4 linked regions of the Drosophila melanogaster genome follow. The protein of the gene in region 1 purifies or fractionates together with the protein of each later gene. This does not show direct contact. Each region holds a gene or a part of one and is shown on either strand. Other genes may lie near its edges.

Region 1 (5,894 bases):
GCCTGACGATTTTGGCCTTACCCATATGCGTGCCAATTTTGGAAGGTTGGCCAATTCACATAAATATTTAACATATTAGAACTTGCTAAATAAAAACCACTCTTTATTTTTCGGATACGATTAAATTAAACCATTTCGCCAAGAACTTTATTCTGAAAAATTAGATTTCCGTTTAAGCGATATACGTAGATAATAGAGTGGAAAACATCATTTAAATAGGTTTCATCTAAAGCAAGCTACTGAAAAGCTGTTTTCCTTGAATACACAATTTAATGTACACAATTTAGGAAGTTACTCATTGAGTAAGACGGTGTACCACCACATTTGTTTAAAATAATTTAACTGGTTGAGTAAATCATTTTCAGCCCTATAAGAGTCTTTGGTCAGGATCACTAGTGAATTCGGTCTATTTTTAGGGGAAATTTTTTAGCGGGGGTTTTGCAAAAGTTTAAAGATCTTCCCTGTAACTGACCACAGAACTTTAATTGTTAATCACCGATCTAAAAAAGTTACTAACAATCTAATCACAAAGTTACTCCTCGAAGAATGATTTACTATCAATCTATAGATAAGAAAGACCTATAAAAGATGTTAGCAGCTCGAAATGTCCACAACACCCCGCCTCTCAACAATCGAATCATGTTCTCAGCCAAGAGTTCTGCAATTGTGGCCGTAGTCCTCGTCCAGATGGTGGCTCAAATCCACGGAGGAGTCTACAGCTATGAGGACAAGTGGGTGTACCTGGACAAGACCCTGGACCTTCCAGAGGAAGCGATTCTCGGTGGCGTCGATCCCGATGGTTACTACACCTACGTGGGTCGTGTCACATACAGCAGTAACATTCTGCCAGCCCGAGTGGTACCGGAGCTGGGAAAGGCCACCTACAACACCGACACCTTGGGCAACCAAGCCACCACCTACGAGGTTCTGGTGTCCAACGCCACTGTCGGCTACCATTGGATCCGTAGTTTCGATGGTTTCCGGGAAAAGAACGCCGTATCTGTGGGAACCAACGCCCTCAGCGAGCGTGTCTTCATCTGTCGTGTCCGCTGTGATGAATCCATCTTTATCGGCACTCTGTACCTTTCCAAGCGGATGTGCATCGTCAAGTACGACAACTTTCCGCTCCGGCAGTTCGACAAGTACGAGATCCTTGTCCGCGAACGCCATGTAGCTGCCGTCTCGCCATTTGTTGATGGTTATATCCACCATTAAATGCTGAGCAACAAAATAAATAGAATAAAATATAAATACAAAATATTTATTAAAAAAAAACAATTCCTTTCAATTTATTTAATGACTTTGAATTAATAAAAATAATTAATATAAAAGCAAAGTTTCCTATTCTTTTTTCTTAATTTAAAAGAGGTAGAAAAACAGAATAACTGTGTTTAAGTTTTTGATAAATCCAAAGAAGAAATTATGTGAATTCCTATTTTCAATTTTTTTGTAACTGTAACTATTTATTCCTTTGTTAAATTAATTACTTAATTATACTCGTAGAGTAAACGCATTTACTTGATTTTGATTGATTGACAATGATATAACAAGTGGATGGAAGCTTTTTCAACCCAACAAAGTATATATAGTTTCGATCAGGATCACTAGACGGGTCATTCAAGCCATATCCGACTGTCCGTACGTTTGTCTGTATGAACATGGTAATCTCGGGAACTATAAAAGCTAGAAAGTTGATATCAGACTTGCAGATTCTAGTCACTTCAAGATATCTTCCTAGTCAACAGTTCAAGAATGTACTGCTACAAGGGCTTGATAATTGTGGCCGTAGTCCTAGTTCATTTGGTGACCCTTATCAGGGGAGCAGTATATAGCAGTGAAGACAAATAGATCCTTGCCGACAGGACGAAGGATCTGCTGGACGAAGCAGTGCTGGCTACATGAACTACGTCGGCCGTGTGTACTATAATGTCCTCAATAATGTCCTGCCTGCCCGAATGGTCCCGGAATTGGTTAGGGCCCACTTCAACACGGACGAGGCTAACTTTGCGCTGAAGGCGTCTTCATAGAAACGCTGTAGCCTTCGAAAAGAGGGTGCATTCTCAAATACGAGTACGAGTAATACAAGTACGAGATACTGATCAGGCAACGCCAAGTGGCTTCGTTCATGCCATTCGCTCTGTAAATACATTGTATGTATACTGAATGCAAGCAAATAAAATCTATAACTCTTTATCAGAAAATAGTCTTTTGCGTTCTTAATTGATTTATCATGTTAGATAAGATGACAACTTTGATTTTTATATAAGGAAAGGAAATTACATGAATATTTCACTAAGCTAATTGAAATATATACCAACTTAAAATTTTATTATATATTAAAGAAGTGCGATATAAGATATTCCATAGGGGAAAATGTTGATTGTATGACACGATCTTTCGTCTTGTAAAACCTGTATGTCATGGGAAATTAAAAAAAATTGTTCTCTAATATTGTTTTATTCAAAATATATTAAAGTAAAACTTATAATTTTTAGTTTATTTATATCAGACTAATTTTGACCAACTTGAAGAGCATACAAACTTTTTTTTGATTCAAACGAGAGGGATATTTCGATGGCTATGCTCTTTACTAATATTGGTTTTAAAACAAAAGTTTTTAGTTGCTCATTGTATGAACAAACAACAAAATAAATATATTAAAGTTCCTAATTAAATATATTTTAAATCATTTTATGTTTAACAACTAAGTTATAGCTCAATATTATGAAATGACTTAGGGGGATTTTTTCTTTAAATTTCTCTTACTTTGAAAGGGTGCAATAAAACAACGATGCGTTAGTCACCGAAACAGATGCTATCAATACCAATCTTTTGATAGCGATAAGTGTAATTGGAGTCGAAAGATAAGAAGACGACTATAAAAGCAGTTAAGTCACTGGCCAGACACTCAAAGTGAATCCAGCAGTCCGTCAAGATGTACAAACTTGTCTGTGTAGTTTTGGCCCTGTTTGCAGTTGCCTACGCGGTTCCCTCGACTTATGGTGAGAACCAATAATAATATAATATAGAGGGTTAACTGAATCCAATTAACATAGCCATTTCGAACAGATACCGAGCACGTGTGGAAGGCTGGTAACCTGTCCTACGTTATTCCCTATAATGCCGTTGTGGGTGGCTTCGATCCCTACGGATTTACCACCTATGTTGGTCGTGTTAAGTACTCCAATAGCATCCTGCCGGCTCGAGTTGTTGCGGAAACTGGTACTGCTTACTTCAATACGGAAACCACATCCTCGAAGCTCCTCGTCTACGACATCCTAGTGGCTGAGCGGGATGTAAATTACGTGTGGGTCAGGAGCTTCGATGGATTCTATGAAAAGGGAGCCGTTGCCGTGGGCACGACGGTCAAAAATGAGCGGGTGTTCTGCTGCCGTGCTAAGACCGATGGAGGCATCCTAATCGGCACCCTGCTCCTTAGCAGCCAGAAGGTGTGCATCATCAAGCACGAGAGCTTGGCCCTGCGAAAGTTCGACAAATATGAAGTTCTGGTGGCCCAGCCTAAAGGCAATGGAACATACTACTAAATTCTACTACTAGATCTTTGTCTGAATTAAGTTCCTTTGATATCCCGGCTCCCTTAAAAAATAAATAAAACATAATTTATTTCAAGTAATTATATTTATTTTGTAATTCACGGAATCGCACTTATTCAATTTTTTGATATGCATCAAATCTTATTAACATATATAGTTCAGTAAATGGATTGACTTTGAAACACTTAATTTTTATAAACAGACTAGTTTTATAAAATATGATTCTCAGGCAGATGATGTTTTTCACAAATTTCTTAATACATTCATATTTCTGGCAAAGAAAGACGTCTCCTTTCACATCAAAATTATTAATTCGTCCCCAACAATTTTTATATCATATTTATATTCCATGACATTTATAGAAAAATTAAAATAAAATAAAAATAAAACTGCCATTAAAATAAAACTTTATGCCTAAAGCGAAAATTGAGATTGGTAATTTTTTAAAAATGCCTTTTTGGAAGGACAACTATTTCTTAACTCGAAATTTCTTTTAAATTCATATTTTATTATGAACTCATCGTAATTTTCTGTTCTACATGCTGCTATGGACAAGAAAATGTATATACATTTTAAAGGTTTTAACTTTCGTACGTTTTTTTTACTCTTAGTTCATTTTGACGAACAAAGTAAGTCCATAATGTCTTTTTTGATAGATAGAACAGTTGATTGATTATGGTATTTAATCTGTAACCAAAGATCTTGCCTTGATTTCAGTGTCGTAAACTATTTTGGTTAAATACTATGTAAGCCACTTTGATTGGCAGAAAGCTATTTGGCTGTGCTTTAATTTAATTTGAAGGGGGTTTTGCAACTATCAGTTTTCGCAGAAGTAATCGATTAGATAAAAAGGGAGATTGGCCTTTTGACACCGGATCAAATTGGACAGTACTCAGAAATGGTTATTGATAGGTAGAATTGAAGTCATAAATTATCGCATTTGTTGCAGAAAAGCTATCGGTTTACTATGAGTTACGGCCACAAGCCAATTGGTTAAATAATAAAATATAAAATTGTCTATTTTCCTTAGACGAAGTTTTTATTAATTTTTTGAATACATGCCAACTTTGCTAACAAGATCATTAAATATTTAACCTACATAAGAATTTTCATTTAATTAATACAACTGCTCGTGAAGATGAATACCACTAACAGGGTAAAGACTTTCATTACCCCGATAGTCCCTGAACTGGAAGCCTTCTCGTCCTGCCACCAAGTCCACTCATTATGGTAAAATCGTGGATCGCAATTGGGATCCCCCGGCTTGTTATTGGGAGGATGTGCCTGTTTGGCAAATTGCTGGATTCGCGACCAAAGATCCAGAAAGATTGTCGAGTTTTGATACTCCGCATATAGGTTGCTCCGCTCGCAGGGATCAGCCTCAATATCGAAGAGACAGGGTCCCTCGAGAGGCAAGCAGGGCTTGACTCCTGTCGCAGGATCTGGGCATTCGATCCTGCTCTGATCTCTTAGTTCGCTGATGTTGCGCTCTCCGAATGACACCTGCTGCAACTGCAGCCAGACACTGGTATTCCGAACGAGTTCTTCGTATTCCACTGCGCGAGGATCCACTTCACTGGTTTCCCTATGACCAAGCCAGCCGTCGTAGAGACCCTGATTGGTAGTGCCGCTAATCACCTTCCACTTTCCACGCGTATAGGACAAATGCGGCTCCGCCACGTCCTCATCAATCACATGGACAATCTCCCGTTCTACCGACTCGTATCCGTACTTGAGGGCAGACCACAGGTTCAATCCGTCCAAATGGAGCGCCGGATCCGGGGATATTCCGGCTGCTGCCGCCAACGTGGGCAAAAGGTCGCCAATATAGATCTGCTGCTTCCAAACACTTCCCAGCCGCTCGAACTCAGTGCTCCAAATGGCCGCTGAGGATCGCAGAGCACCCTCCCAGGGGGAATTCTTTTGCTAAAATATAAATTGATTATAATCAGCGAACTAAATATCAAAAAGGAACATGTTCCAAAAGTGTTTGCATGAACGTTTTGGGTGTTTTAGTATTTATAAATAGTTAACAACGGACATGGGCAGATTACAAACGATATATCCACTTCTTACATTTGTTAAACAAATTTAGTTTTATCTACGATTAACGGTAATGACATTGACATTGTGTTCAATTATTGAAAAAAAAAGTAGTACAAGTTTTATAATGAAATTAAATTAGTTCAGTCCGTAGTCGTTTTATGTTTATACGTAGTTTTAGCTTATACATAAATATCAAATAGCATGACTTACCCCCCTCAGTGGGTAATTAGAGGCAGTGGTAGAGTGTTGTCCCTGTGTTGGCCCACCATTATCGGATAGAAAGAGTATGATGCT
Region 2 (9,067 bases), on another chromosome or scaffold:
GAGCAACATATTCGCATGACCCACGACTTTCGGTTGAAAATAACGAGCCTCGATTGTTCCGTGGAAGTGAGAGCAGGTTCTCCATGTGATCGATCATTCCGGCAGCCGCAGGCTGTGACTGGTTTTTTTTTTTTTGTTAAGCGTTCAATGATCTGAAAATGGGATTGGGAATTTTGGACTGAAGCGATTTTGTTTTAATTATAATTTCTATCCGGACAGCAGACGCTAATTACTCTTGGCAACACGTACTATAGTACTTGGACGTATGCTATAATTTCTATTCATGTTATGATTTCATTTTACTCGCAGACCCATTGACCCAATTCAATTTTAATCTTACAGATACGTAGCCGCCACGCAATGTGAGCCAACATATGGTCGTCTAATATTTCCCTGCTACGATGAGCCGGGCTTTAAGTCAAACTTTAGCATTAAAATTACCCACGGTAGTAGTCATTCCGCCATATCCAATATGCCAGTGAAGGAAGTACTAGCTCACGGGTAAGTTCATATGCTTATATATTTTTCCATAAATATTAACCTCTTATATATATTTGTAGTGACTTGAAAACCACTTCATTTCACACAACCCCACCGATTTCAACCTACCTTGTGGCTTTTGTCATCTCCGATTTTGGAAGCATATCTGAGACTTATCGTGGGATCACTCAAAGCATCTATACCTCGCCAACTTCCAAGGAAAAAGGTCAAGTTGCACTGAAAAATGCTGTGCGAACAGTGGCTGCACTCGAGGACTACTTCGGGGTTTCCTATCCTTTGCCAAAACTGGATCACGTGGCGCTTAAGAAGAACTATGGAGCAGCCATGGAGAACTGGGGTCTAATCACTTATAAGGACGTTAACTTGCTTAAAAACATTTCGTCGGATGGACAGAAACGAAAGTTGGACTTGATCACCCAGAACCACGAGATCGCACACCAGTGGTTCGGCAACTTGGTGTCCCCGGAGTGGTGGACATACACTTGGATGAATGAGGGATTCGCCACTTATTTTAGCTATGTGATAACTGATTTGGTTAGTAACGAATAATGGTTATAATAGGTTACTTTCCTTTTTCATACAACTTTCCCGTTTCCTTTCAGATATACCCCAATGACAAAATGATGGACATGTTTATGACCCATGAGGCAGATAGTGCATACAGCTACAACAGCTTCTTTGATGTCCATCCAATGTCCCATTACGTCGAGGGTGAAAAGGACATCATGGGTGTATTCGACATTATCTCCTATAAGCGAGGTGCATGCGTGATCAAGATGTTTCATCACGCCTTTCGTCAGAAGCTCTTCGTGCGTGGTATCAGTCACTTTCTGGAGAAATAGTAAGTTTTTGAAAATCACCTCTCGAACTGGTCAATTGGAATTCATGGGTCAAGGTGCTCTGCTCTTTCGCCCAGTCGTTATAGCGTGGCCAATGAGCTGAACCTCTTCGATGCCCTGCATTCGGAGCTCCAGGATGACGAGTACTTTTCGCATCAGCCATGGGCGTCCCGGATAAGGGAGATTATGCTCTCGTGGACGCATAGCGAATGGTTGCCCATTTTGGTGGTCACTCGGAACTACGAGAACAACACCATCACGTTTACCCAGCGATCAGTTCACATGAAGGATGAGCTATGGTGGATACCAATAAATTTTGCCACCACACAGTCGCCCAACTTCGAGGACACCCAAGTGGATATGTTTATGCCACCCCAACCACAGTATACGGTATCACTGGAGGATCTGAATATCCATGTCAGCGGCAGGGATTGGATAATGGTGAATAAGCAGCACACCGGTTTCTATCTCGTCCGCTACGATACAGATAATCTAATGGCCATTGCCAGGCAGCTGCAGACGAATCACTCGGTCATCCATCCAATAAATCGACTTGGTCTCTTTCGAGATCTGGGTCCCCTGATCGAACATAATGAAATCGAGCAAGTGGAAGTAGTGTTCGAGTTGCTAAAGTACCTTGAGCTTGAGGAGGATGTGCTGACTTGGAATCAGTTGCAAGATACGATAGAGTGTCTAACACGAAACTTGCATGGCACCTCCTCCCAGAGCCTCTTCAATGAGTTTGTACGCCGCCTGGTTGGCCCGACTTTTCGACGAGTTTACGTGGAACAAGGTGTAAATTTAGCTGAAGATGGGATGTTCCGTGGGATTCTAGAAATCGCCTGCTCTGCGGATCTTCCCGAGTGCCTGGAATACACACGTCGCCTGGCTAAGGAGCATATAATCGATAAAATTTATTTTAAAGATGGATCAGACTACCATGCCATAATCGATTCCGTGTTATGCATGGGAGTTCGGTATCTAAGCGATCAGGACTTCCAAAGGATAATTGATATGATGCAGGAAATAGATCGAGCTTCGGTATACTATGATGACATTATATATGCCCTCCGGTGCACGCAGAGTCATCGGCATCTGTTATACTATCTGGAAGGTCTGATGGGTGAAAACTCCACCCATATGGTCCTTTCCGAATTCGAAGATTTGATGTATCTCCTCTACATATACAAGTCGAATCTGGCCTCTCGTCCGGTCATCTGGCAGTATATCGAGCGCAACTACAAGGTGCTCTGTCGAGCACCAAACTTTTTAGAGCACTTTAAACAGCTCGCTGGATTTGTGCCCAGACATCAGAGATCACATGTAATGAGTTTATATCTATTTCATATCCTACTCGTTTTGTTCACACATATCTCTTTTCAGTTTGAGAGGCTACGCCAGACAATTGCGAACCACATGATGCAGGAGGGTCTTAATACGAACCAAACGCTGATCGAGGTCGATTCTCCGCTGGTGGGCAAAAAGATGAAAATCACCGAAAATTTCCAGGACAAGTTCGAGCAGCAGATCCACAAATGGCTGCTCAATGAGCTTCCTCAGGCGACCAGCAGAAGTGATGCCCTTTTGTCCGCCTCCCTCAGCGCGGCCAATGGGTCAAGTCGTCCTCAAGGAGTCCTAAAGGAGGCGACTAGGGTGTTGCGCAGTGCGTTACGAATAGTAGATATGTATAGGTGACCAGACATTTGGTCTAACTAGGTATCACATAAGTACAGGCTTAATTACGAATAAATTAATTTTTTTCAAAACAAAACAATCGAGTCAATTCATTCAACAGCCAAGAGCTTTTCAACACATTCTAAATTAACTACAGACGTTATCGATTTGTCTGAAACGCCTCCGTGGGGAATTGATAAGCAAGTATAAAACACAAAAGTCATCGATAATAAAAACCCGATCAAATGACTATAACTTTTTTACGCAAAGACTAGTAATTATTTCTGGGTATTTCTGGCCATTAAAAAGCAATTTGAAAAATTTATAACAATTTTGGACATTCAATAAGTCGTATAAAAATATACAAAACTGAACAAAGCCATTACTTAAGTTTGTTAGTTTTTGTACAATGATTACTGAATATTAAAGCATACAAATTTGATATATTTAAAATGTAGCACCTCGTAAAATTAATTGATACTTATTAGCGTTTTTCACGAGTATTTATGACTGTTTTGATTATAGCACTATAACAACTTGCATTTTTTCGTACTTTCAAATACTTAGTCGTCCCAGACGAAGCCATAATTCAAAAATTTACTGCTCCTAATGATGAAACTAATAATAGGAATTTGATTAACAAAAAAGTAATGTTATCCTGCTTTATTTTGATAAGCGTTACGCTACTGAATAATTAAAATGTTACCGAGGGGATTTTTTACACTATAGAGTACCATCTTCAAAACTCTCGTAGACTAATTGTTTTACAGCCCAATCATACTTCACATTTGACTTGTCCCAGTGCACTCTGGGCCAATAACCGTGGCTTTGCCACGTTTTATCGAGAATTGCGCAACAATCTTTATGGCGATCGATGTTGAGGATTAGATATGGCCAAGTCCATAAAAATGCCGTGTTCAAGCGGCGGCCGCTCAATAACAAAGTGTCTTTTACCGAGCAGCCAACATGGCACGGTGGCTGCTTAACTCGTTTTCGCTGATCCTGCTCCTGGCAGTGTGCAGCCTACAGGCGCGCCTGATCCTTCCCTTATCCCTGGACGATGGACAGCTGGAGACCAAGGGAGCAGCCCTCTTTGCCACCTCCCGCGTGGATGATAATAGTGCCGGCAATTACCGACTGCCAAATACAACGGAACCGGAGTCCTACAACGTGGAACTCTGGACCAATGTCCATAATGGCGATACCGAATTCAATGGCACCGTCAATATCGATATCCGGGTTTTGAACGAGACATCGAATATTACGCTTCACTATCGCCAGACGTCGAATTTTGAAGCGACGATTATCAGCCGGGATGTGGCCACGCCCACGGCAATTCCACTCACTGTAACCCCCGAGTTGCAGCGCGAATTCCTCGTCCTTACGCAGACCACCGCTGGTGAGGCATTTGGAGCCAACACCAACTGGACCATCACCATCAACTACACTGGCATCCACCGATCTGATATGGGCGGTTTCTATATCTCCAGTTATACGGACGATGATGGCGAACAGCAGTAAGTTGATATTTTACGAAGACTATACAAAATAATACCATTATTTTATTATGAGCTTGCACAGCCTTTACCCTTTTACCTTTATAGAAAATTATACTTAGGTTAGCCTTCTAATGGATGAGGGAATAAATTGCAAAAGTACAAAAGCTTATCGTGCTATTAATTACAATTGTACCTGATTGAGTACTTGCGGCTAGTTTCATTTCTTATCAAGAGACACAATTTGGCTTATCTTTATAATCTGTTATTAGTACGATGATACGCGCTTACCAAATAAAGATTAATTATCGGTTTAACTGAGTCGTTAATGTATATAACAATTTCTTTCAGCTTCTTGGCCACCACGCAATTCGAGAGCACAAACGCCCGTCACGCGTTTCCCTGTTACGATGAGCCTGCCCGTAGAGCTAACTTTACGATTACCATCCACCATGATCCCTCCTACACTGCCATCAGCAATATGCCAGTAAACACCGCTGCCACCAGGTATGATTTACGAATATATATACAAGCATAGAGGAAACATTACTCATTCGCAGTGTTGACAATGCTAGATACAATTGCAATCGATACTTTTCATGTAAGAAATGCTAACATACTGACGGTTTCGCCTTCCAGCTCGGGAGTCACTGCTTTCCAGACGACGCCAAAGATGTCCACCTACCTGGTGGCCTTCATCGTCTCCGATTTTGAGTCCACCACCGGAGAACTGAATGGCATCCGCCAGCGGGTTTTCTCGCGCAAGGGAAAGCAGGATCAGCAGGAATGGGCCCTTTGGTCCGGATTGCTTGTGGAGTCCAGTCTGGCTAGCTACTTTGGGGTTCCCTTCGCCCTGCCCAAGCTAGATCAAGCTGGAATACCGGACTTCTCTGCCGGTGCCATGGAGAACTGGGGTCTGGCCACCTATCGTGAGCAGTACATGTGGTGGAACAAGCAGAACTCCACGATCAACCTGAAGACGAACATTGCCAATATTATTGGACACGAGTACGCGCACATGTGGTTCGGCGATTTGGTATCTATCAAATGGTGGACCTATCTGTGGCTCAAGGAGGGCTTTGCTACTCTCTTCTCGTACGAATCGAACGACATTGCTTTCCCACTGTGGGACACCTATCAGATCTTCCACGTGAACGACTACAACAGCGCTCTGCTTAACGACGCCCTGGCCTCGGCCGTTCCCATGACGCACTACGTTCAGACACCATCGGAGATCTCCAACAGGTATAACACCTTCTCGTACGCCAAGCCCGCCAGTGTTCTGTACATGTTCAAGAACGCTTGGACGGACAAGGTATTCCGCACTGGATTGAACAAATACCTGACCAAGAAGTGAGTACCAAGCCATTACTTAAATGACCTAATATATGAACTTCTAATGTATAGAGTATAGAATTTTGATTAATCAAAAGATCTAAAATATTTCAAGAACTTAAAAAGCTAACTTTATGATATACTCGTATATACTGGGCTTAAGAGCCCTCATTTTAATTTGAACAGTAATCTCACATTGGAATTATTTTGTTTCGCTCAGCCAATATACATCTTGCGACGAATGGGATCTATTTGCGTCCTTCCAGGAATCGGCCGACGAGCTGGGCTTTACGCTGCCCGCCAGTGTGGACGACATCTTCAGTAGCTGGTCCCACCAGGCTGGTTATCCCCTGCTCACAGTGACCCGTAATTACAATGCCGGCACTATAACGATCACCCAGAAGCGTTATGTGGCGAACAAAACTGATACAAATAGCGCAACTTGGTATGTGCCACTTAACTTTGCCACTGCCAACAAGTACGATTATCGTGACACGAGCGCCACACATTACTTGCTAAATGTGACGGAGACCGTGATCTCAGATGTCGAGGCTTCCAGCGATGACTGGATAATCGTGAATATCCAGAACTCCGGCTATTACCGCACCCTGTACGATACGCAGAACTATGGTCTAATTACGGCAGCTCTGAAGTCTCAGCCCTGGAGGTTCCATCCTCGTAACAGGGCACAACTGCTGTACGATACGTACATCTTTGTCAGCACCGATCGCCTGAGCCACAGCATCCTGCTGGAGCTGCTGGGTTACCTGACTAATGAGCAGCAGTATGCTCCTTGGTCCACTGCCAACACTATTCTGACCGTCTACGATCGTTACTTGCGTGGCGATGATTCTTACTACAACTTCCAAGATTTCGTGAAGCGCCTGATCGATCCCATCTTCGATAAAATCGGTGTAAACGAGATTCCCGGCGAGCATTATCTGAACAACTATCTGCGCATCGTGCTGGTCAGCTTGGCCTGCCAGGTGGGATCCGATGATTGCTATAACCAGTCGGCCAATAAATTATCCGAGTACCTATACAATGGCACAGCCATTGAGGCCACTCTAAAGACTCAAGCCTACTGTGCTGGTCTCCGATCGACTACCAATGAAATCTATAGCAGAGTGCAGTCCGATTTGCTCAGTTCCTCAGATTCCACCGATCGCAGCCTGTTCATCTCCTCGTTGGGCTGCTCTGGAAGTACGAGCCAGCTGCTTGATTTCTTGAGACTATCCCTGGACACCAACAATAGCTTGAGCTACTCGGAGCGCACTTCCCTTCTAAACTCGGCCTATTCCCGCAGTGAAATCGGTCTTACCGCTAGTTTGGAATTCCTGGAGAGCAACTGGGAGGCATATGCCAACCTTTCAGACTCTGCAAAGCCCCTGGATGCTGCCCTGCGTGGCATTGCCACCTATGTGGTCAGTGAGAAGCAAAAGACGAGGGTACGTTTTTTTTTTTTAATTTATAATTCAAAGCAGACTTTTAATTTACTATTTATTAATTATATGACAGCTTAACGCTTTGGTGGATGTTGTGGAGGCTGATGGACCGAGTTATATCAATGATGATCTGAGCACCACCATTGACTCCAGAATCACATCCAACTTCGCTTGGTTGGAAGTTAATCGTGATCCAGTGCTCAACTGGATCGAGGATTCCTTAAAAGAGAACGGCAGTCCCTCTCTGACCTCATCCATCACCACGATCCTGGTCAGTGCGATGGCTCTGTTGCTATTCAGGCTATATTAAGATAACTCACGTGGTCAAGTATTAAACATAAATTCAGTAAAGTGACGTAAATCAACAATAAAGATTGTGTGCTCATCATAGATCGAAAATAGAACTGATTATACTGTGGAATTTTCGGGCTGAATGGAGTCCCCTGGTGAGAAAAGTTCAAAGTTCCGCGGTTGGGAAACTTAACTGATCGGTTTATAGCTTGGTTGACACACATTTGCATTGGTCAATCTAATCGCGATTCTAGGAATGGCATCGATAAAGCACTGATAGTTGAGCTTAGTACGAAATTCGATTATCAAGTGGATATTTACAATGGCCTGAATGGTTTATGAAGTTCACGTGATCATATCAGATTGTGATTGGCAACTTTCAAGAACAATAAGCCATTTTATGGTTTTCAGTTTCTTAATCAATTTCAATGGTTTTACCATTTATTAGAAGATGTCTAGCTGTTGCATAGTATCGCACATATTGCTTAGTAATTCCGTATGGATTAATGGGCCTTTTCTTATCTCAAGAGCGAACTTGAACAGTCTATTATACCATAATAGTTAACAGGCGTGTATATTTCGCTATCATATCAGCACATATGATAAGTACACGAGAACTTCAGTTTCAATTATTATTGTTCAAGATCTTGTTTCGTATAGAAATTATTGCTGTTTTCATAATTAGATAATATGCTGTCATTCCTTTTCATTAATTATAGTAATAGTGTTAAATAATTTTTAGAGGTGAGAGAAACAATTCTTTTATAATCAGCTAAACAATCAGATCAAGGTCAGTGCACTTGAGATTTTTATCAGGGCGTCTATCTTGAAATGCCCACACTTATTCGACATTATCTTAGACGTGATTGTTACTAACCCTGCAGAAAATACAAATTCATCAAAGGCTAGTACCATACTTGATTTACTACCCAATGGAGTTTATACCACAGTTCTTGGCTGGTAACGGTCATTCTGGGTAACAAGATTGGGGTAATCTTTATGTCTGCTCCCAGATAAGATGGACTGCCTCGCTTAAAAGTGGCTCCCCGAACTTTGGCAGTTTAGTCTTTCCGCGTTTTTCGCCATGAGTTGCGTTCAGGTCGGGGGCATGTCAGTATTCTTGGTCCTTTTGCTGGCCATTTCCGCCACCCAGGCGGCTGTGGTTCGCCAATATCCGATCCTTGATCACCTGCAACATCTGGAGAATCCCATGCAGCGATTGGTGGTTCCTCTCGCCGACGAGGATAACTACCGTCTGCCCTACGATACGATCCCGAGTCATTATGCCGTGTCCTTGAGCACAAATGTGCACACGGGAGACACCGTGTTCAATGGTACCGTGGCCATCACCTTAAGCGTTTTGAACACCACCACAAAAATTGTGGTCCACGCCCGCCAGCTGGAGAACTTTACAGCCTCCATTATTCAGCAGGGAGTCACTGAAGCCGTGGCCCAGGAATTGGTATACGAATATGAAGCAGAGCGC
Region 3 (8,425 bases), on another chromosome or scaffold:
TCGAGAACTTGGCTGTGGACTTGGTAGGTTTATTATCGAAAAACTCTCGATTATTTATCTAATTTGTAATTTCGATTACAGGCCTATCCCGAGTGGGACATTTTCCAGACCTTCCACGCTGGATCGTACCAGAGCGCTCTGGTGAATGATGCCAGCGCTAATGCCCGCCCCATGAGCCACTTTGTCCAGAAGCCCTCGGAGATTGCCCTGCTCTATGACTCCGTTTCGTATGCTAAGGCCGGATCCGTTCTTGACATGTGGCGCCATGCCCTGACTAACACCGTTTTCCAACGCGGCCTACACAACTATCTGGTCGACAAGTAGGTTTCAAGTTTTGGAGCCTACATCAATGTCTAATATCGAATTTTTATTCTAACCAGTCAATTCACTGCTGCCAATCCCAGCAAGCTTTTCGAGGCCATTGCCAAGGCTGCCGTGGAGGAGAACTATGAAGTGAAAGCAACCGTGCCCGATATGATGGGTAGCTGGACAAACCAGGGAGGAGTTCCTTTACTGACCGTGACTCGTAACTACGACAACGGAAGCTTCACAGTTAAGCAGTCGGTGTACACCAACGATAAGGACTATACGAATGACAAGTTGTGGTATGTGCCCATTAACTACGCCGAATCGAAAAATCCCGACTTCCGCAACACCGAGGCTACTCATTATCTGCTTAACCAATCCGAGATTACCATCTATTCCGACTTGGACCAGACCAACTGGTTGATTCTGAACAAAAAATCCACTGGTTACTACCGCGTGCTCTATGATGCCCAAAACTATCAACTGATCACCAGCGCATTGATCACTCGTCCCCACAAGATCGATCCTAGGAACCGAGCCCAGTTGATTAACGACTTGTACCGCTTTGCAACCAGTGGCCGTGTGCCCCATGCCACTTTGCTGGAGCTGTTGACCTACTTGCCCCAGGAGGATCAGTACTCTCCCTGGTCCGCTACCAACACAGTGATTACCCTGCTCAACCGCTACCTGAGCGGAGATGCGGATTATGGCAACTTCCAGTTCTACGTCCGTGAACTGGTGAGCCTGCAGTTCGACAAGTTCGGAGTGAATGATAACAAAGGTGACCACCATTTGGTACCATTCACCCGCAATGTGCTAATTAACCTTGCTTGTCTGGCGGGTCTGGAGAATTGTCTGACGGAGACCACGGCCAAGTTGACGGCTCTCGTGGAGGAGGGAACTAAGATCGAGCCGAATCTACAGTCGCAGGTGTACTGCAACGGCCTGAAGCAGGCCGATGACAAAACCTTTGACTTTGTGTTCAACAAGCTGCTGAACTCCACCGATCAGGCCGAGCGTCGTCTTCTGATCTCCGCCCTGGGCTGCTCCCAGAACACTGCCCAGCTAGAGAAGTTCGTGTACAGCAGCATTGAGCCAGAGGGTTTGAGGGATCAGGAAAGGATCACGGTGCTGAGTCCGGTCTACTCCCGCGGCGAGGTGGGTCTGCTGGTCGCCATTGAGTTCCTGCAGAAGAACTGGGAAAAGTATGGTCAGCTAAATTCCGGCTTTGGTGGCGTAAATCCTCTGTACAGCGACATTGTGGGTATTTCCGCCTATACCGTCAACGACAAGCAGAAGGATGCCTTGCAAGAGTTGGTGGACACTGTCAAGGGTTCTGAGTATGTGCCCAGCACTCTGCAGGATAGCGTGGATAGCAACGTGAATGCCAACTACGCGTGGCTGGCTTCCAACAGGGATCCCCTGATGACCTGGGTCGCCGGATTCCGCAGCGGCAGCTCCGCCCTGAACGCCTCCATTTTGGCAATCCTTGCCTGCCTTCTGGCCGCCAAGCTATTCTAAAACGTAGATCCTAAGTTAGTTATAGATTTCCATTGTGCGCCCAATAAATTCCATTAATTTCCTAAAACTATTGTTTGCTTTTGCTGGGAATTTACAATTCCCTTCATAGGTTTATGGTCGTGAATTGCCAGATCGAAGTGGTCAGATAAGCGTGAGTATTTCATAAATTTCCTCTTTTGAAAAGTAAAAAACTCTGTTCTTACGACCACAGTTGAGCCATAAATACATGGGTAATCAGCCTTGGCAACTAATTTCATAAGTGTGAACGAAATCATGTTAGCCTTTAGTTTCACAAATGGTCGAATATAAATATAATAAAAGGAATTAAACAAAGACTGAAATTTCTTGAGGGGTTTTTATGACTTTAATAACTTGGTGGATACAGTTTTATAATCGGCGGTTTTTGCAAATTTAACAAACTACTGGGGGCGGTGTGCAGATATATTTTCTTGTTTATCATTCATATGCTTGACAAATGTGTTTTTTCAATAGCTTTGATACTCTATTGTGCCGTAAATAAGCGTTTGCCGTCAATTTTTGATTTGCTTTGGCCACTAATCAATCAATAATACTCATTAAATGCTTCATAGCAGGAAGAAGTTCCTTTAAGAGTACAATACACTTAACATAATGTGGTTCATATGTTGATAAGCCATTTTGCGATAGCGTTAGTTAATCCAAACGAATACAAGGTAAAATGTACGGACCGACAATTCTTTGGATGCTCATATAAAAAATTCAGACAAACCTATTCATGTTTGTTTCATTATTTACGAAGTATCTTGTAATCAACCAACATTAGCAACAACTTGGCAGTTAAAAGCTTTCCCCTTTGGAAGACTGCAAATCACGCTCGATAAGATTGGGTGCAATGCACCATAAAGTCTCAAAGAAGCAGTGCAACGGACAGCAAATGTTATGCCATCGTCTGGCAATCTTCAAAAAAATATTGTCAGCTTGGATTGGTAGCCAATGGCGGAGTGTGTAAATCACGACCCCTTATCGCTATCGCAGCTTAATCTATAGACCAGGCGAACTTTATCTGGGCCGAAATAAAACGTTAAAGTTTGCAGATAAGCCGCTGATACTAGCAAAGTCGCAAAATGGTTTACATTCACCATATATACCGGGCCCAAAGCCAAAACTCACTTAGTTTTCGAATCGAATCGCTGGCCGAGTGGCGTGCGAAATACTAATTCTAGTCCGAGGTTCGCGATCGAACCCTTGAAAAGTGAGTTTAATAAGTGCTTATATAAATGGGGATTTTTCAAGTAAAATTGGAACAATCCTTATAAAAGTGAAAAAAAAAACTTTAAATTACTAGACACGTACTAGCGATGCGATTAATTAAGTTTTTAATTTGTATCCCTTTTGATATTTCATTAGTAGGAAGAATGTTTGCCCCGCGAGTGGCTGTTCTCCTGGTGGCCTGTGTGTCCTTGGCCTCGGCAGGAACTCGGCAACTGTCTGTGGATGTCCAGCCGCCGGCGACGCTCGCCACCGAGCTAAATGAATACCGCCTGGCCGAGCACATCACGCCGGTTAACTACAACATTACGCTGCGTCCCTATTTGCTGGAGACCGATGGCAACAAGAGGTTCACCTTCGATGGCGAGGTTTGGATCGAGGTGATTTCCAACCAGACCACCAACGACATCTATCTGCACTCGAAAAACCTCACATATTCGGTCAGGGAATACTGGCAAAAGCCAACCACCGAAGTGGCCAATCCTACGGTCATCCAAATTAGTGCCACCAATACAACGAACTATGATACGGATATTGTAAAGCTGACGGCGTCAACTGCTTTGACCGCCAATACGACATATATACTGCATTTCGTGTACACCGGTCTGATGGAGGACGATATGCACGGTTTCTATCGCAGCTCCTATGTGGACGATAACAATGTTACCAAGTGGCTGGGATCCACCCAATTCCAAACCCATCACGCTCGTCGCGCCTTCCCCAGCTTTGATGAGCCCCAGTTCAAGGCCACCTTCGATGTCACGCTGAAGCGACACAGGACCTTCAACTCGGTCAGTAACACCCGTCTGATCTCATCGTATCCCAGCACTGAAGAGTAAGAACTTCCACCACTTTATTGTTAATCTGTAAGCCTTCCATTGGTTAAGAAATTCAACTATCTAGTGAGAATTTAATCGATTAACGAGAAAGTTGTTATTTCTTGATCTGAATATTATGTTTTATTTCACCCAATTATTAGAGGTATTTTCTCGGACGTGTACAAGACGACGCCCAAAATGTCCACCTATCTGCTGGCTTTCATAATTTCCGAGTTCGTGGCCCGTAAGGATGACGATTTCGGAGTTTACGCACGTCCCGAGTACTATGCTCAGACCCAGTACCCCTACAATGTGGGTATCCAGATTTTGGAGGAGATGGGCCAGTACCTGGATAAGGACTACTACTCTATGGGCAACGACAAGATGGATATGGCCGCCATTCCGGATTTCTCGGCCGGAGCAATGGAGAACTGGGGTCTGTTGACCTACAGGGAGCGTTCCCTGCTGGTGGACGAGTCGGCTACTACCTTGGCCTCCCGCCAGTCCATTGCCGCCGTGGTGGCTCACGAACAGGCGCACATGTGGTTCGGCGATCTGGTCACCTGCAAGTGGTGGAGCTACACCTGGCTTAACGAGGGATTCGCTCGCTATTTCCAATACTTCGGCACCGCCATGGTCGAGGACAAATGGGAGCTGGAGAAGCAGTTTGTGGTTGACCAGGTGCAGTCGGTCATGGCCATGGACTCGACCAATGCCACCAATCCGCTGAGCGATGAGAACACCTACACGCCCGCCCATCTGAGCCGCATGTTTAACAGCATCTCCTACAACAAGGGAGCCACCTTCATCCGTATGATCAAGCACACCATGGGCGAGCAACAATTCCAGAAGTCCCTGCAGGAATACCTGAAGAAATAGTGAGTAGTGGGGAAATTAAATATGTGACTTGTATTTCAAGGGTTTTTCTTGCTTACAGCGAGTATCAGTCGTCTTTGCCTGAATATCTCTTGGGAGCCTGGCAAGCCAATTGGCCCAACTCCAGTTACAATGAAAGCTCCAAAGATATATTCAAGAGCTTCACCGAGCAGGTGGGCTATCCACTGATCAATGTAACTGTTGGCAACAGTCAGGTCAGCTTCACGCAGAAGCGTTTCCTGCTGAAGGAGAGCGATGGATCCGACTCATCTTTGAAATATACTGTGCCCATTTCCTACACTACCAGTGAGACAAATAACTTTTTGAACACCACGCCAAAGTTTATTCTGAAACCCAACGTAACTACGACGGTTCAATTCAACTCAACAATAAAATGGATTGTGGTCAATATTCAGCAGACCGGATATTACCGTGTCACCTACTCCGACGACAATTGGCATGCCATCCACCACGCTCTGATCACAGCCAACTGGGGAGGAATTCACGAGAACAATCGCGCCCAGATCGTGGATGATCTGTTCAATCTGGCCAGGGCTGGATATGTTACCTACAACCTTACCTTGGATGTGATCGAGTATTTGCAGACGGAGACCAACTACATCCCCTGGACATCCGCCTTCAACGGCTTCAACTACTTGACTATCCGCCTCGGAAACGACACGGCCGATTTCAATTACTATATCCAGACCCTGACCAACAAGGCCTACAATCAGCTGGGCTTCAATGAAGCATCGAATGATACAGCCTTGGACATTTACCTACGCACTAAGATCCTCTCCTGGGCCTGTCGCTATGGCAGCTCCGATTGCATCAGCCAGGCCCAGGGCTACTTCCAATCGTTGGCCACCGTGCCCAAGAACATACGCGCCACTGTCTACTGCGTGGGTCTGCGTGAAGGTGGTGAGGCCGAGTTCCAGGCTCTTTACAACAAGTTCAAGAACGAGACCGTGGCCACCGAGGAGACCCTGCTGCAGAACTCATTCGGTTGCGTCAAGACCCAGTCTCTAATCGAGAAGGTGTTCGATCTGATCATCAGCGATGAGATTCGACGACAGGACAAGTCATCCGTGCTGGCCACTCTCTACACGGAGAACAACGAGAATGTCAGTCCGGTGTTTGCACTGGTCACTCAGAAATACGAGGAATTGGCTGAGGCGTAAGTATATCCTATTATTTGGTTTGGCTTGCATTTTATAATTCACTTCTTTCTGCAGCATGGGCGGCTACTCCGCTGTGGCCACGGTGATTTCCAATATCGCCGCCCGTTTCACCACAAATCAGCAGTTAACTGATCTGGAGAACTTCAACAAGGCTAATGGCGCCAAGTTCGGCAGCTCGCAGGCCACTTTGACCGCCGCCGAGGCAACCGTTAAGGAGAACTTGGAGTGGGCTACGGCCAAGCTGGGCGTTTTCCGCAGCTATCTGGCCAACTATCGTAGTGGAAGCGCCATGGTCAACGCCTTCAGCGCCATCAGCCTTTTGATGGTGGCCCTGGTCACCATGCTGCGTAACTAAGCAGGGATTAGCTCCTACTGGAGTCAGGTGCGATCGAGTCACGAGTGCTCCTTAGGCCATAAAGTATTTGTACGCAAGAGCACCCAATAAAGTAACACCTTTTTGTAGATAAGCCGCTGTTTTAGTTTATTATTACTCGTGCTAGCAAAATCGATCATGAAATGGGCTTAAATGACACCCATGGCGACAATTAATTTACAATCTGATTAGCGACAATATTGCCGGGTGATTCAGTTCGGGATCTTGAGGGGATTTTATAAAACTACGGTTCAATCGATCACTATTTGGCCATAAATTTGTTGAAGGGCAATAAACGATTTTTTTTTAAGTTTTACCGAAATTTCCGGCGAAAAGGTGTTTTATTTATTTTTTATTAGATTGTATTAGCCATTAATTTAAGTCTGGCGCGTAATAAATCAAACCATATTAAGCCATTAGGGTTTTTTTTTTTAATTTGTGTGCTTTAATTTTGATGCAATTAAAAAAAAAGACAAGGAATATCGCTGAAACTTAAACTGACCGACATAAGTAATAAATTACTATCTTTATTGCTAGCTCTTTTACAATATTGTCTTGCAGATATCGATCTTACCACCTATTCTGGCTAACTAAGTTGATTCACTTTTCGTGGAACCCAATCGAAAACATAATCCTTATCGCATCTTATCAATTGTAGTATTGAGTGCCGCATTGGACTTTCCACCATAATGGTGAATGGATAGCAGAGGGACTTTTTTTTAGAGTTTAATCTATACAAATCACTAATAATGGTATGACAAATATTTTAAGGAGAATGTACAATATTATCTTTTAAAAATAATTTTCAAAACACCAATAGCTTTCCTGACTAAAACTCATTAAGCAGCTGTCGTTGGCAATTAAAATGATAATTGGCATTCCATTTAGCATTTAATAAATGCCCAATGGCACGCTGATAAGAATATTTCAGTGAGAGAAGTGTGACGACATCTTGTATTATTGTTGAATATTCCGCTATCTAATCACCTGCGAACGACACCTGTTTTGCGGGGGGGACTTTTATTTGATTTTCTGATTCTGATTCCGGCGATCTACAAGAGTGTGTCCGAATCCAACGCTCCAGTAATCGAGTTTCGGTCGCCATGAGCAGTTCGATATTTCGGGCCTTTTGGCTACTTTGTTCACTGCTGATCTGTGTCACGAATGCCGCTGATTATCGACTGGAAGGTAGCGTCGTACCATCGCACTACAACCTGACCATCGGTGTTTTGCGGAACTCAGTCGAGCCCACTATTTTCGATGGCGAAGTGAGCATTACCTTGCGGGTGGTCGGAACTTTGGAGGTGCAACAAATCATTCTACACGCTGATACGCTCGACATTACGGAATGTTGGCTTTTGGATGCGGCAGGTGCGCAGGTGGAGGCCATCGATATCAGCAGGTTGATTTATGAGGCCGCCACCCAACAGGTGAGAGTTCCGCTGACGGAGGCCGCGCAGCCAGGCAAAAATTATACGCTCGGGTTCAAGTACACCGGGCACATACGAACGGATATGGCCGGCTTCTTCTCCGCCAGCTATGTGGAGAGGGATACCAATGTGACCAGGTGGTTGGCTCTCACCCAGATGCAGCGCATCAACGCCCGTTTGGTCCTGCCCTGCTTCGATGAGCCCGCCCTGAAGGCACAGTTCCAACTGCAGATTGTTCGGCCCAACGGGTATCAGTCGATTGCCAACACCAAGCTAAAAGAAACTAAAGCTTTAAGGTACATTACACTTTATATAATATAAAATAAATAATGTTAACTAATCACCGTTTTTCCATGATTTCAGCCAAGATCGTTTTGTCGATCACTTCAAGGAGACCCCTGTAATGTCCACATATCTGCTGGCCTTCATGGTGGCCAATTATTCTGCACGTGGAAATGAGAGTGAGTTCGCAGTGCTCACTCGTCCGGAGTTTTATGATAACACAGAGTTCAGCTACCATGTGGGTCAGCAGGTGGTTTCAGCATACGGGGAGTTGTTCCAGAGTCCATATGCTGAACTGGGCAACGATGTGCTGCAGTATGCCAGTTCGCCCAGGTTCCCGCACAACGGCATGGAAAACTGGGGCCTCATAATCTACAGGTGAGTACGAAA
Region 4 (7,636 bases), on another chromosome or scaffold:
CCTCTGGATATGACCGCTTACTTGGCCCAGGAGCGCGACTTCGTGCCCTGGTATGTGGCCTCCAATAAGCTGAGGTCGCTCCATCGCAGTCTCATGTTCAGCGAGGGATACGTGTCGTACCTCACCTATGCCAGAAGTCTGATCGCTGGCGTATACGAGGAGGTGGGTTGGACTGTGGACGCCGACAATCACTTGAAGAAGTACGTATATAAGTACCAACTTGTTTTTCTGAAAACATTACTCAAACTACTGTTATTCAAACAATCTTTATTCCTTTGCAGCCGCCTGCGTGTTTCCATTTTGACCGCCGCCTGTGCCCTGGGTGTTCCAGATTGTCTGCAGCAGGCTTCCGAGCGCTTCAGCACCTTCCTGGAGAATCCGACCACTCGACCTTCCCCCGATCTTCGCGAGATTGTCTACTACTACGGCATGCAGCAGTCCACCAGCCAATCGAGCTGGGATCAGTTGTTCCAACTCTTTGTGGCCGAAACCGATGCCAGCGAGAAACTGAAGCTGATGTACGGATTGTCTGGCGTACGGAACAGCCAGTATCTGTTCGACTTCCTGGCACAGGCCTCCAGTGATGAGAGCATCGTTCGCTCCCAGGACTATTTCACCTGTGTGCAGTACATAGCCGCCAATCCTGTGGGTGAACCGGTGGTCTGGGAATTCTACCGCGAACAGTGGCCCCAACTCACCACCCGTTTTGGCCTGAACAACCGCAACTTTGGACGACTTATCGCCCAGATTACGGCCAACTTTGCCAGCTCCGTGAAACTGGAGGAGGTTCAGCACTTCTTCTCCAAGTACCCCGAATCGGGAGCTGGAGCTAACTCCCGGTTGGAGGCCGTGGAAACCATCAAGTACAACATCGAATGGCTATCCAGAAACGAAGCTGACATCACCGACTGGCTAAGTGGAACGGCCTCGCCGCTGACCAAGAAAAACCAATTGTAAAATTGTATATTGTATATAAACTGGCCATTTAGCCAATAATTAGAGTTGCATAAGCGAAAATTCCGTTCGAGTTCAATAAAATGAAATTTCAAAATCAAACCATAAATACAACCCCCATATTTTCATTCATTTTATCCGAGGCAAGTGGGGATTTCTATAGCTTCTAGGAAATAATTGGAGATAGGGTCTTTGAGTATATGGTCAATGCGGAATCATGACCATGCGTAATTATCCTGAGTAATTAGAGTGTCCAGTCATAATAGTCGATATATGGCCTTGTTCGAATCGTAAAAGTAATGGTCTAGCATAAAACGATTTTATCTGGACACGAAGCTATATAGTATATAGTCTAGATATCGGTCAGCAATCTGATCAGGTTTATCAAGTCCAAATTGTGGGGTCAGATTCGCAACTTGCATTCAGTTTCCAATTTGGCTTCCAGCCTAGTGGAAGCAGTCGAGTAATTTTCATCGAAAAAAGAATATCCCTAAAAATGGTTGCCTGTGAGTCTTCTATATAGAGTAGCATATCCCGAAGGAACAGTAACTAATGTGAACTCATTTTAGGGCTGACGGTTAAGTCAGTGGCCATCTTTTTGGGCCTGGCCTCTACTGCTTTTTGTGTGGCCACGATTGTGCTGGCCGTTCAGAATGCGGACCTGGAGAACGATCTGCAGGATGCCCTCGATAAGATCGACGCATTGACGGTGGACACCACGTCCACGTCCTCCACCTCTACCAGCACTTCCACGACCACCACCACTGCAAATCCCAATGGGCCCACGGATGACACCGAGCCTGGCTCTACCACCACACCTGGCGTAGGAGGTGACACAACCCCCAGTGCAGGAACATCTCCGGGTGGTGAAACTTCGCCATCATCCAGTACAGGAAGCACCACCAATCCCATCTATCCGACATTGCCGACAGGACTTCCTGATCCTGAAAAGGTGAGTGAAGTGCAAGAAAAATATATTTCACGGCTATAAAAGATGTTAGTTCAGAAAAACCCTCACACAGAGTGGGAAAATTTTCAGCGATTAGACGTAAAGTCGGCATGGCTACTAATTTCGAATTTATTAAGTTCCAACTTAGTCTTACTGGTCATTTCAAGTGCTTATCGCTTGGCTAGCGTTTTTTTTCCTCTTTTTTATCATAATACAAAACGGGTCTAATTTCTTGGGTCTTTTAAGTTAGTTTAATTGCGGCTAACGCAGTGTTAGGAGCCACAAAAATGGGACACATGCAGGACAGGATTAAGGGTATTTATTGATAACGAAGGAAGTTTTGGGAAAACACCGATACCGATTCATGTATATTTTCATAGACTTGATCACCGCTGAGCGCGTGGCTATATTCTTTGGTCTATTATCGACCTGCTTGATCGTTGCCCTTGTCATTGTGGCCGTCCACAGGGATAATTTATTGCTGCAGTTGGACGAAGCCAAAAGGATGTTGGATGTTCTGGAGGAATACATTCAAAGCCACTTGTTGTCCACCATTTCGGAAAGAAATTCATAAGAATTAGGGTGCTGGCAAACATTCAAAAAGATGGCTTTCAAATCCATATCTATTTCCAAAAATGGTTAAAGCAATAAAGCAATAAAGGCAAACGGATAAGAAACCAAAATACGCTTAGGTTTCAATATTTGTGTAGTAGAGCTATTGTTGTTTGATATCTGAAATTGCACCTAATAAATTAGGACCCTAATTTCACAACATTTAGCCACTATATCCAGCTAAGGCATATTTGTTGCAACGACGTCCACTTGGTTTACGACCTGACCACAACAGTGCTATTTCCTATCGCCACCTTATCAACGCATTGCTCACTTAATAGGGCCAAAGCCCATTATCGATGGCGTGGATATTAAATAAACTTTACGACCCCGCAGATCGAATGGCGCCTGCCCACGGAACTGACGCCCATCAAGTACAAGGTGTACTACCATCCCGACTTGACGACCGGCGCCTGTGAGGGAACCGTGTCCATTCAGTTCCAGCTGAACGCGATCACCAACCTGATCGTCCTGCACGCCAAGGAGCTCAATGTGCACAGCATCAGCATCCTGAACATGATGGCGCGCATACGCGTGGCCATCGATAGCATCAACTTGGATGAGTCCCGGGAGCTGCTCCTGATCACGCTAAGAGAGGTCCTCAGTATGAACAAGGCCTACACACTGTCCGCAAGTTTCGACTGCGATCTGAGCAGTCTGGTGGGCAGCTACATCAGCAACTACACGAATGCCGATGGAGTAGATAGGTGAGTAATTTTAAGGTATATCTTGCGATGACAAACATTTTGTTAGCATGTCTAGACTAAGATGTCAGGTATCTTTATTATATCGTACTATTTATGTAGCTAAGATCGTATCTAGTGCACTGTCCGCAACTAGTACGATTGCAAGCACACTTGTGAATACCCCCAATGCATTGGAGATCATCGCATGTTGGGGCCATAAAAAAGCCGGTCTCAGCTGATGAGAGAGCTTTCCGGAGAAGCTCGAGTGCCGTGACAACTTTGGAGCCCGCTTCAGTCGGAAGTTCAGAGCAGAGCGCGACGGTCGCGATAGAAAAGAGCGGACTCCGTCTGCAAATACGATCTCAATTACGATTCTCGCGATTCCCCTTTCTTTTCGCTTTTCTTCGTTTTCTCGGATTTCTCGAGTGCGCGCCTACGATTTGAATCAAGAATGATAGCTGTCCGGCAATTGCCGTTATCAAATTAGCCGAGTGAATATTCCTCGGACCCGGCAAAGTTACAATTAATGCCATTCGTAGACAAAAGAAAAACGAAAAACGAGACACGAAAAGCTGTGATTTCAACTGTAAATCAAGTAAAAGGCATAGTGCGAAATGTGACGGGAATAATAGATAATAAGTGGCCCATATCAATCAGATACCGTTGAGTCCGCTCCAAAAGCTCCACGCCAATACAAAATGACCATTGTCACCGCATCGCCGTTATGCGATCAAAATTCTAGTTTTAATTGGGCGCATTGAGGCGATCACTATTTTTAATATTCGCTGAAATGTGACCACCGGATTCTATGCCAACTTTGACTTTCAACGGGTATTCGTTTCGATAAACAACGGGCCATCGCAGGCTGGCCAAGAGAACTCCACATGGCTGAATCAAACAGGTTGCACCGCTCCCTTCCCCTCCCCTCCTTCTTTCCCACACCCCTTTGGGACCGCTGCAAACAGGCTTGGAGCCAAATGCATACATAGTTCACTTGCCGCGCAAGTTCTTGGCCTTAAATCGGCCACAATCGATGCACAGCAAAAAAAAAAAGAAAAGAATTATATCTATCGTAGCCCATTATCAGATTATATTGGTATGTCTCTTATCAACGAGAAGTAGATTCTGTTCGTAGTTGCATTCTTTGACATTTATCAACAATTGTTACCAATCTGATTATAAGAAAAATTAATATCACAGTTTTTTTAATTATCAATATTATCAATATTATAAATTGTATATATAAATACAATTACGGCAATTAGACATTTTACTTCTTCATTAGATCTTCAATTTGTATCTTCGATTTTGTTGGTAATCATTTGCTTATGATTTTTTTTGCTGTGTATCTGTGGTTGTTGGCCAGCAAATGCGTCGTGTTTACATCTTCAATGCGGCAAATACTCAATGGCCGCTGAGAAAATACTTTCTTCAAAAAGCCGCAACAAAATGGGTCGACATCATTGACTGCCAAGAAACTTGTTGTCATAGTAGCTTCCCCTACCCGTTTCTCGCTGTGTTTCCTGGGTTTGTTTTGTTCTTGAAAGTTCAGTCAAAGCTCGGTGGTCAAACCTTTTTTTCATTTTCATTGACACTGATTTCTTTTTCGTTCTTCTTGGGCGAAATAGAAATTTTTTTATTTCCAAACGGTGGGAAAGAACCTTCGAAAGTGGAGGGCTTTTTAATTGGATTTTTGTGCTAATAATGTAAATTAACGGCTGTTGTTGGCAGAATTGATAAGGCACTTGACACCTTTGGCGGTGTGTAAATTATACAATTTAACACCTTGAAGTTCATTGATCTACATGCTGAAATATAAACAATTTCATTGATCTTCTATTTATAAAATATTTATTTATTTATATTTCAATGAACTGTTGATAAAGCTTACATAAATATTTGTAAATATCGCATGGTTTCGAGTTTCCTATTTTCCAATATTGAAGTTATTTATAAAGTGTATATCATGAAATCTATAGCATTAAATTAAGCAAGTCAAGGCCGAAGTTTCCTCTCCGATTTTATAGTTTATTTGTGTTGAAAGTGATGCAACCCATTGATTAATAGTAAATTTATTTCGCATTCCGTTAACCCCAAACATGCAAATTGTGGCAATCATTTCTTTGTCAACGCATCTTCCTTTTATTTATTGTTTTTATTTGAATTTTCCCTTTGTGTATATCATAAATTGCAGGCACGTATAGTCGACCATTGTCAATTTCATCCCACCGCGGGTGTTATGGGTAGTATTTCTTCCATGTCTGGGATTCACTTTGAGTTTTTGGGTGTTTCTGGGGCGCACTTGTCACGTATAACTTTGTGTTTATTGTGAAAGTTATGACCTTAAAAAGCCCGAAGAACGTGTTTCAAATGTAAGCTTTCAGTTTCGAATTCCAAAATTTAAAAGCATCTCTGCTCTGAAGTAAACAAACATATAATGGAGTGACAAACAGGGATATTTATCTGAATGATCTGAATCTGAATTTATCTGACAACACAAATTGTTACTGTTTAGCATAAGAAATGATCCACGTTTCTTATATCAAATAATGTTTAGATTAATTCCTTTTTAAGCTGCTGTATTGCGCATTAGTTTTTTTTTTCTGTGTGCTTTCGACTCGATCTACAAAGTAGTGAAATTTATGCGACTCATTAGCGAAGTATGAGAACTGTTATGTTATGGCTTGTGCCCCCGCGATCATCGCTTCATCGGCTTCAGAATGCCGAGATATTCACATCTGTGCAATGGGGCGTGTCCGATTGGCTGTTGGAAGTCGGAGATATATGAACTCATATGGTACATATGTATATACCAACCATTGTCTGCAGATCTTCTGGTTGCTTTTTTTCCGGCGCTCATAAGGTGGTAGTCATGCAATTTTGTTGACTCCGATGTGCGGTGGCTTTGTGCGATGTGCGCTCCCTAATTGAGTCAGCATTACATCATCCGCGGAAGATGCAAGGGGGCGTATACGTATTATACCATGTGTATCAGAGACAATTGCCTGCCGGCTGGTGAAAATTAGCATATTCTGCAGCCTCGAATTCCTCAATTCGCACAATTCCGAGTGAATGGTGATCCGTGTGATACTTCAGCTGCATCGCGTATTGTTCTTTTTTTTTTGGCTTAATACTCCTATATCCTGACATCATTTTCGAAAAGCAAGCCGTGGATCATGACTCTGCGGGCAACTCAATTCATTTCCAATGCTAATAATGGCATCTGTAATTTCTTGCCATCGCACAACCTGCGGAGATTTGTGCAACAGACTCCGTAAATTGACAGGCAAAAAGCCAACAACCTTTTGTGATCCGTCAATCAATCGTACACAGCGAGAAAAACTATACACTATGATTAAAAAAATGCTATTAAGTAATCATCATTGACTATCTAGAGAGACATAAAATTGAGATGTTATAAAAGTATTGTATGCTACTGAATTTCTTAGCGTTATTGTGTAGAGACGCCTCCATAGAAAGTCGTATCATTGCAACAAACCCGGGGATTCGAATTGCAACTCTTGCGGTTAGCCAGCCCAGTTCCAACACCAACTTTATAAACCAAACTAAAAAATGGCTTCGAGTATTTGTAGTAACAATTTCACAAAATGACCAACTTCATTACGTGACCGTTGGAGGGGACTGGGGGACAAAAATAACAGGCATCTGATTGATCTGCAGCGAGTCGAAATTGAGGCAATCTCCACCTGGAGATAGAGTGAAATGTGACGGAAGCTGTGCTGCCCCGCCTCCTTCACCTGGCACCTCCATAAAAGCCGGGTCCATAAGCCCGGGTTTGTTTATAAGCAGCTCGGAGATTATTAAAACAGAAAAAACTGATGATGGCAGCGGAGACGCATGTAATTCAGTACGCGACTTTTATGATGCTCTCGAATTACCCCGCCGATGACACAATAGATTGTATGAAGTTATGGCGTTGTGGGACAGCCCCATAGTTGGCCGAAAAAACTACTGTTAGAGTGAAGCTTACCGATCGTGACATTTAATAATGTTTTCCAGTGATTTACTGTTGTTGAACGCACCGAGCCCAGTAATATAGGACTAGAAACAGCAAAAAAATAGTACAATTAAGAAGGAAAGAAACTAAAAGTCATGTATGCAGCGAAAAACGTACGCCCGCGCAGCAGTCTCTCCACAGACGACAATCACCGGATCAAGGACACCAATCGGCCCCACAAGGCCCGCAGCAACACGATCCTGACCCTCGCCGCATTCTGCGTCTTTCTGCTAGTCCTCTGCGGCTTCCTGCTGGGCGCCCTCGTCTACGTCGGCAAGAATATAGCCGAGGAGCACCAGAGGCAGCAGCACGCGAATGCTTCCCAGTGGGCCTTGAACTCCACCATCCGCACAGTTTACGTGGATCGGGACCAGTTGCTATCCACCAAGCCCATTATCAGCGTACTTTCAGGTTGGT

What was found.
Region 2: the proteins of CG5506 (region 1) and CG31343 purify together in Drosophila melanogaster (affinity purification with mass spectrometry, with the first as the bait; one large-scale study listed by BioGRID). This does not show direct contact.
Region 3: the proteins of CG5506 (region 1) and CG31198 purify together in Drosophila melanogaster (affinity purification with mass spectrometry, with the first as the bait; one large-scale study listed by BioGRID). This does not show direct contact.
Region 4: the proteins of CG5506 (region 1) and CG32473 purify together in Drosophila melanogaster (affinity purification with mass spectrometry, with the first as the bait; one large-scale study listed by BioGRID). This does not show direct contact.

The regions. Positions count from the first base shown.
Region 1 is NT_037436.4:17,881,387-17,887,280, reverse strand, and holds CG5506 (uncharacterized protein), read left to right. Parts: upstream 1-2,904; 5' UTR 2,905-2,935; coding exon 2,936-3,002; intron 3,003-3,069; coding exon 3,070-3,545; 3' UTR 3,546-3,632; downstream 3,633-5,894. Other genes in the region: CG16775 (uncharacterized protein), read left to right, coding at 640-1,215; CG7408 (uncharacterized protein), read right to left, coding at 4,668-5,480, 5,811-5,894.
Region 2 is NT_033777.3:21,741,325-21,750,391, forward strand, and holds CG31343 (uncharacterized protein), read left to right. Parts: upstream 1-3,941; 5' UTR 3,942-3,980; coding exon 3,981-4,531; intron 4,532-4,861; coding exon 4,862-5,017; intron 5,018-5,149; coding exon 5,150-5,863; intron 5,864-6,065; coding exon 6,066-7,293; intron 7,294-7,363; coding exon 7,364-7,600; 3' UTR 7,601-7,679; downstream 7,680-9,067. Other genes in the region: CG5849 (uncharacterized protein), read left to right, coding at 343-501, 561-1,035, 1,104-1,342, 1,418-2,663, 2,724-3,035; CG31233 (uncharacterized protein), read left to right, coding at 8,666-9,067.
Region 3 is NT_033777.3:21,751,348-21,759,772, forward strand, and holds CG31198 (uncharacterized protein), read left to right. Parts: upstream 1-2,976; 5' UTR 2,977-3,058; intron 3,059-3,213; 5' UTR 3,214-3,221; coding exon 3,222-3,910; intron 3,911-4,054; coding exon 4,055-4,771; intron 4,772-4,830; coding exon 4,831-5,946; intron 5,947-6,004; coding exon 6,005-6,305; 3' UTR 6,306-6,411; downstream 6,412-8,425. Other genes in the region: CG31233 (uncharacterized protein), read left to right, coding at 1-23, 82-320, 381-1,827.
Region 4 is NT_033777.3:13,301,275-13,308,910, forward strand, and holds the start of CG32473 (uncharacterized protein), read left to right. Parts: upstream 1-3,489; 5' UTR 3,490-3,796; intron 3,797-7,221; 5' UTR 7,222-7,314; coding exon 7,315-7,630; intron 7,631-7,636. Other genes in the region: CG8774 (uncharacterized protein), read left to right, coding at 1-200, 282-957; CG43208 (uncharacterized protein), read left to right, coding at 2,191-2,218, 2,284-2,477.